Linked DNA regions of Rattus norvegicus. The protein of the gene in region 1 interacts with the protein of each later gene in a pairwise test. Links are inferred from orthologs where the notes say so. Each region holds a gene or a part of one and is shown in the gene's direction. Other genes may lie near its edges.

The links. The genes of interacting proteins can lie anywhere in the genome.
Region 2: the proteins of Fez2 (region 1) and Scoc interact in binary tests that used the Homo sapiens proteins (3 or more experiments, as listed by UniProt). The link is inferred for Rattus norvegicus from reciprocal best matches to the Homo sapiens genes FEZ2 and SCOC.

What each region holds. Positions count from the first base shown.
Region 1 is NC_086024.1:22,420,285-22,423,798, forward strand, and holds part of Fez2 (fasciculation and elongation protein zeta-2), read left to right. Parts: intron 1-1,812; coding exon 1,813-1,954; intron 1,955-3,514. UniProt on the Homo sapiens protein: Involved in axonal outgrowth and fasciculation.
Region 2 is NC_086037.1:41,586,418-41,590,452, forward strand, and holds the start of Scoc (short coiled-coil protein), read left to right. Parts: upstream 1-1,229; 5' UTR 1,230-1,326; intron 1,327-4,035. UniProt on the Homo sapiens protein: Positive regulator of amino acid starvation-induced autophagy.

The sequences.
Region 1 (3,514 bases):
ATGAGTGAGTTGGAATATTGAGTTGGTATTTTTTGTTTGTTTTGAGGCGAGGACTCCTTCTATACCCTGACTGGCCTGGAAGTCCCTTTGCAGACTAAGGTGTTCTTGAGCTATAGAGACCCACCTGCCTCTGCCTCCTGAGTGCTTAAATCAAAGGCTTGAGCTGTCATGCTTGGTCCCACCAGGCTTGCTTTGGTAGAGCCCTTGGTAAGAATTTTAACAAATAAGAGAAGTGTCTGTTCTCTTCTGTGGAAAGAAGCCAACATTATACCTGTGGGTGCTGCAGTAATATCAGCCTTATACCTGTGGGTGCTGTAGTAATATCAGCCTTATACCTGTGGGGTGCTGCAGTAATATCAGCCTTATACCTGTGGGGTGCTGCAGTAATATCAGCCTTATACCTGTGGGGTGCTGCAGTAATATCAGCCTTATACCTGTGGGGTGCTGCAGTAATATCAGCCTTATACCTGTGGGGTGCTGTAGTAATATCAGCCTTATACCTGTGGGGTGCTGCAGTAATATCAGCCTTATCTTCGCTTGAGATCAGTTGAGTCAGCTCTGTCTTTGTCTGAGTACTCCTCCCGCCTCTGCCCTGCTGTCAGAGTGAGCCCACAGTGGCTCTGTGGGCTGCAGGCTGTGCATTCTGTCACCTTTTATTTTTAGTCAGGGAAGGGAAGGTCAGTAAGGAGATATGTTATGGGAAGGTCAGAGGAGTACGTGTACACGGGAGGAATGTCCTTCTGATTCCCTGATTACGTTTGTGGTTGGATTGTTCTAGGCTTAGACAACTGTGGTGCTAACAAGAAAGGTAATGCTATCTATGGAAGGCATGACAGTTCAGAAAGAGCTGTGTGTGACCCTGAGCAGTCTCGGTCCCCAAGAAATCTGCCGGGTGCCACGTCCTTTCTGTTTTTAAGACTCACAGAATCTCGTGCTCTAGCCCCCTGGAACGCCTCACGTACTGTCCACGGCTCTGTATGGGCACCGGCCCTCTTGGGGTGGCTTTTACCCAGCTGAAGAGCTCCGATACATTCACTAATGCCTAGGTGCTTTCAGATGCACTCGCGGTGTTCTGTGTCACCACTGAATTGTATTTTACAGTGTTCGTTAATGTTTAAATGTCTTTCCAGCCCCCCTTTAAGTAGTGAGTAGCTTTCTCTTCTAGGGTCTACTTCCTTTTTCTCTCTCAGAATCTGGAATCAGACAAGGCACTGCTGTGCAGCTTGGGTCATACCCAGTATGACAGTAGGTCATGGTGTAATTAAAGCCAGGTGTGTGCCTGGAGTCGCCCTTCTTCTCGAAGCTTTTTCCTGTCTGATTCTGGTTTGGGTAATTTAAAAAATACCCCTTTGTCCTTCACTGAGTTAATAAATGAAATTCTTTGGCAGTTAGAGAGCTAACTTCCTGCTTTATCTGTGATTATTTCTATGTATATTTGTAAGTTTTATGTCAAAGTTTTGGTTACTGTAGATTATATTGGTGTTGAGCACACTTGTGAGGTGTAGAGAACATTTCCCCATTTTACCATCTTTCAGCCGTCACTGTGATCCGTGTCTCGGTAACTCATGGCACATTAGACATCAAGATGTACTAGTGTCTGCTGAATCGCAGCAGACACACCAGATCATATTCTATTTAATTCTGTGTTCATATATTGTAGATTCCATAAGCTGTGTTCACTTTTACATGTGCGTCCTGCACATAGTAGGCACTTAATGTCCCTCTACCTGGGTAGTCCAGTAAGCACTGTGGCACAGTCAGGTCTTTTCTCCATGAATTTATTTGATTAACGCATTATACATGTTTTGGAAGGTTATTGAAGAAATTGAAGAAATGATGCAGGAGTCACCAGACCTAGAAGACGATGAGACCCCCACACAGTCAGACCGGCTCTCCATGCTCTCCCAGGAGATTCAGACTCTCAAGAGCTCTAGCATGAGCAGCTGTGAAGAGCGTAAGAGACCCTCCCTCCATCAGTCTCCGTGCCTTCTGTCTACATCCAACACAGAATGTCACCATCTTCAGAGAGCTTTGATTTTCTCAGGTCCTCTGGCCATATAATTCCCTGCACATACTTTCGCCATTGTTCAGGACTCTGTTGTACTTTCTTCAAGCCTGGGATTAGTTTGCTTTTGGGAGAATTTTATGCAGACTGGGTCGCTTCAACAACCTGAGTTTATTTCCTGGTTGTTCTGATAAGTCTCAGGTCCAAGGTTAAGGGTTTGCTCCTCCCAAGGCCTCCTCCTGGTCTGTAGGTGGCCATCCTTTCCCCGGGCTTCCTTCCGTACATACCAGTGTCCCACGCTTCTTCATCTTCCTGTAAGACACTGGTCACATTAGATTGAGGACCAGCCTCGTACCTCATTTTCACTTAGTTGTCTCTGTAAATATTTCAAGCCCTGGTGTATTCCACAGTACTGCGGGTTAAGACTTCAGCATGTAGTTTTGGGAGAGAAAGTTAGATCATAAAAAGCAAGATAGTAATCTATTTATTGAAAGGAATTCCTAAGTTTACAAACAGTTGCCTTTGATGTAGCTTTGAAGAATTTTGGGAAGTGAGATTTTCTTAGAGTTGGATCTGTGTCTGTATATGACCACACTGGACTGTAAATACCATGTGGTTGGTTGTCCTGAAGAGGTTCTGAATAGCCATCCCCAGCACGGATTGCCCTGAGACTGGCTCTGGTGCTGGCGTTGATGCATCCTGATTATCGCCTAGTTCCCTGCTGGGTAAGATCCTCTTAGGATCTGGGTTTGTATCTGTGGCCTGCCCAGAAGTCTGAGGCTGGGCCGCCTTAATCCCTTTGTGTTATGTGGTTTCTTTTTAACCTTTGAAAGGTTCTCTGACACACTACATTTTCCCCCTCTGATGTGATTTGGCCATAGCTCTGTAGATAAACCCTTAGCATTGCTGGGGTACTAAATCCAAAATCCAGTCTTGATATGATAAGATATAGGAAGTATGTATTAGTTAGCATTCTGAGAAAGTTCCTCAGACTGTGCAGCTTAGACAGTGGAATTTACCTTCTCAGAGCTTTGTAGGACAGGTGTTAAAATCCAGCTCCTTGGCTTGTAGCTGGGGACAACTGTGCTCTCCTTGGGTTTTCAGGAAGTCATCTTTGTCCTCCCTCTTCCTTCTGTAAAGATAGCAGTTACATCGTGTTAAAGTCCACAGAATAAACTCATTTTCACTTTATGGCCTTTCTCAATCCTTCCCTCCAGCTCACCCAGTCCCATTTCGAGGTGCAGACATTAGGGCTTCAGCAGTGGCCTCCTGGCTCCCTGCTTTGCAGTGTGAGGGAGGAACTGAAGTGACCTCCATGGACTGCCCCTCCTCTCATCCTCCCGGTTTTCAGCCAGATTCATGAGAGGAGGCGGCATATAGTACTGAACAAGCATTTCGTTTGATCCTGTCAGAACTGCTCTTTTCCCAGAACCCTGCCTGGTTGCTTGTCAGTTTGTGTCCCTTCCCTCTGCTTCTGTGTTTGTTCTTTTCCTCAGACTAGCTTCATTT
Region 2 (4,035 bases), on another chromosome or scaffold:
CCAGCGCATTCGCATTTGAAAAGAAAGTGTGTTCTTCACTACTTTGGAAAATGCCGTAGTTTTTTGACTATTGCCCCTATTCATTCTCTCTGTTACTTTGTTGGCACTCCTCTTAGAGTTACCTGGGATTTCCCTCTCTTCTTGTATTCATTGTATTCTTCCCTCAAACCCGAGTAGTAGTGTGAGCCAAATATATTCGTCTCAAACACCAAATGGAAGATACTTTATTTATAAAGGATTACGGTGACGGTTAGCAAGTCCTACTAAGTGGGGGAAGAGACACCTGGGAGCTGTAGAAATGGCTCAGCAGTTAACAGCACTTACTGCTCTTGCACGGGAAGCTATGTTGGGGGTCTTAGCATCCTTATCAGGTGGTTCACAACCCTCTGTAACCCCAATTCCAGAGATCTGATTCCCTCTTCTAGCATCTTCAGGCACCTTGCACACGCGTGCACACACGCCGCCACATATTCATGCAATTAAAAATAAAATCTTATATAAAAAAGAAAAGCCAGGAAGAAAGTATTTGTAAGCTCGCCTCTGCAGCTCAGAAAGTGGGAATATACTGTGCTTTGCAGGTGGGGATATACTGTGGTCACTGACCACTAACAGCAAGATACTTTTGTTTCAAAGGTTAGGTTATAATAAAGTGTCGCGAAAACTATCTGGCAACCCATTGTACATGTACACTTGAGTAAGAAACACAATTTTAATTAAGCCTTGGTTTTTCTGCGCCTGAGATCAGGCGACTGTTGCTCTAAGGGATCATGAAGTGGTCGGGTGAACGGTAAGTTAAAAAAATTGTCTAGAATATGGGGTACGGAGAGGAACATCCATTAGTGGTATACACTTTGTGCGTTTTCTAATCTTAGAAATAGGGATGGTGGGCTTTTAGTATTGAGGGACAGCCGATGACACTGCTCTGCTCACTCCGTTCTTAAAGGTGAAGTGACTTCCAACCTCACTTTCCAGGATCCCGGCGAGACAAAAGATCTGCAGCGAGAGCCTCTTTCTTTGGCGCGTCTTCTCTTCTGCGTCGTGATTGGTTGCTGCCTTTTTAGGACACGCCCAACACGCCTGATTGGGCGTCAATGCCCTTTTGTTAGGGCAAAGGTGGACCCCGGTGCTCTGCCAAGGGCTAGTCGCGGCGTCCAGCAGCAAGTGCGCAGGCGTGCAATCTCGAGTAAGGATTGGTGGGAGTCCGCCTCCTCGCTCGGCGCACGCTCCGTGGGCGGGAAGGGCGGGGCTGATGCTGTCAGTTGGTCGGAGAGCCGCGGCCTGAGGCGTCCTACCTATCCCGCCTTTTCCCGGCGCCTCAAACGCAAGGTGAGGCGACCCAGGCCGGCGAGGGCTCCGGCCGGGAGACCTCCGAGTCCCTGAGGGGCGGGGCGGGATGGAACGGGTCCCGGGCGGCTGACTGGATCGCGGGGCCGCGAGGCCCGACGCCCCGCCGAGCGCTGCGCAGCCGCCTTCCCGGCCACACGCCCTGGGCTCCGTGGGAAGAGCCTGACGTTGCCGAACAGGGACGGCGTCGGGGCGCGATGGGACCTGGTGGTGGGAGTCGACGCTCTGCAGTCTGAGCTACCTTCCAGCTCGCCGCAATCCTCCTGCTTCAGCCTCTGGAGTGCTAGGATTGGTTTACAGGCGTGGTGGCCTATGCCTGTCTGGGGTGGGACGTCTTTGCTAGAACCTGGGTTTGTTTCTTTGTCAGCTTTTCTCAAGCGTCCTGCGGAACAAATATTGAAGAGTAAGGTTTTGGAAGGAGGAATCATAGGTTCTGGAAAACCAAGATTTCTGTTACACCATCAGAGACTGGTGTCGTAATAGCCGTAAGGACAGAGATCCCCAAACCGTTATTCATTTTTGAGACTCAAAGCTGTGCGTAGGAATCCTAGTTTCTCTGTGCTCCAGTGATTAAACTTAAGTTTGAAATCTTTATTGACGATGTAGTTCGTCAATCGATTTCCATCGGTTTTGAAACCTCCAAAATGTCAAAGGAGAACATGAACGGATAGAAACAGATCACAATGGAGTGGATGCAGCTCGAAGCAGATAAAATTTTATATTTGTTTACTTTGTGGAAACGCCACGGGAGTCGAGTTTTTCCAACTCAGGTTAGGACCGTAATTATATTTTTGGTTGTGAGCCTAGCCTTTAACGGCTGAGCCATCTCTCCAGCCCAGGACCGTAATTATGTCTTGGGTATGAAACATGAGACAAGGCCTCTGTCTGGCCTTTATAAGGCCTAATTAGTACCACATCTGTGAATTGCATTTTCTTTCTGTTTCGGTAAAACTGTGTCTGTAAAGTGTTTAGTGCATGACTAGTGCATTGGACTTTCCATTTTTAAAAACTGTTTCTGATGAGTGGGTGACAGGTGGAAAACATCAGTTGCAGGTTCAGAGATGTCTGGTGGTTGAGTTTGGATGGATATTAGGGAAATGTCAAACTCATTTCTGAGAGTTTAAGGCAAGCCTAGGTGCCATGATGAGAAAGACAGACTAGATATTGACTGTACCCTTGACTCTGGATGCATACTGTGCTGTGAATTAAGCTGCTTTCAGATTAGGCCTGAGTTCTAATATGAGGCCTTCAGCCACATGGGTTTTTTAAAAGTTTCTTCTGTGGTCCAAACAAGTGAGTGGTGATGAAAAGGTCCATTAACATCTGTTGAATACTTACTAAGTACGCAAACACATAATTGAATGTATTAAATTCTCAGAACAAACCCGTGAAATGCAGTTAATAGTTCCATTTTGTGGATGAGGATACTGAGGCTGAGACTTTTAAACGTGACCAAATTTCAGAGCCTTAATGGAGAGTGAGGATTTTTAAATCACTGTGAGTCTTCTGAAGGAGTCTTAGAAGGTACAGTGTGAACATGTGAGGGTAATTTAGATTAAACCTGGACTAGCATTTGTCATATCCCTGAAGCCTTACTATCTCTTCTACCCTTTCTGCATTCTGGATTTAAGTTATAAAAGGTTCTCATTCACTAACAAGCTAGATACACACAGGCAGTGAGACTTCTTGTGATTTTCAAAGAAAAGTCTTTTAAAGCGCTGACATAGAGATCTCAGAGAATAATGCCTCTTTCAGAGCCAGGGTGGCTGGTAAGTTACAAAATAATTGTGTAAGGTTGTGTGAGCACACGTGTGCTGCATTTAGTGAACCCACAAATTACAGGCTTGGCAGTGCGCATGTGTTTGGGAGATGGAGGTAAGACCTCTGGAGCTTGCTCACAAACACTGATTGAACCGGTGAATTCCAGGTTCAAGGTCTTAAACATAAAACAAAACAGTGGAGAAGGATTGAGAGAGCCAAGGTTGACTTATGGCCTCTACATGTGCACAAAGACATGCACATAAATATAAATATAAATATGCACATAAAACAACTTTGTTAATTAAAAGTTGAACGTTGTTTAAATGGAGAGGAATACTACTTTCAAAAAATGACCCTGCATTGTTTCATTTGGTTGACTAGACGAATTCTTCAAGTGTGATTTTTAAATACTATAATAGTTTGAATAACCTTAAAAATAGAATTTTGAAAAAAACTTAGTAATTTACTTTATTTGAAGGGCAGAGACTCTGTAAACTGAGGTAGAAAGCGGGAGAAAGTAGGCTTCTGTGCACTCAGGAGCAGGCTTAGCCTTATAGTTGTTCAGTATGCTCAGTACCTTTCAGACTGAGCTGCCACTTTCATATTTGTACCCTGGCTGTTCTGCCTCTGAAAGGTTTCTCTGTGTACCTTTGCTCTTCTTTGTGACTGTCCTTAGTAAAAAGATTCACAATGTTTCTGAATCTTTAAAAGTAGTATCGTATTTTCCCAAGATTGCAGTTAAGGTGTTTCCTGTTTTGAGTATTTATATTTCCATCTCCCTTTGCTAGCACATGCCACATGATATAATCCCGTGTGCAGCATTTAGCTTCAGGTACTTGATTACTGAGCAGCTCAGCACCATCTTTCCTTATGTGGTTCTGTAAGCTATGCTGCTGTGTCCTTTGCTGAACTTCGTGTGCACACTTAGTA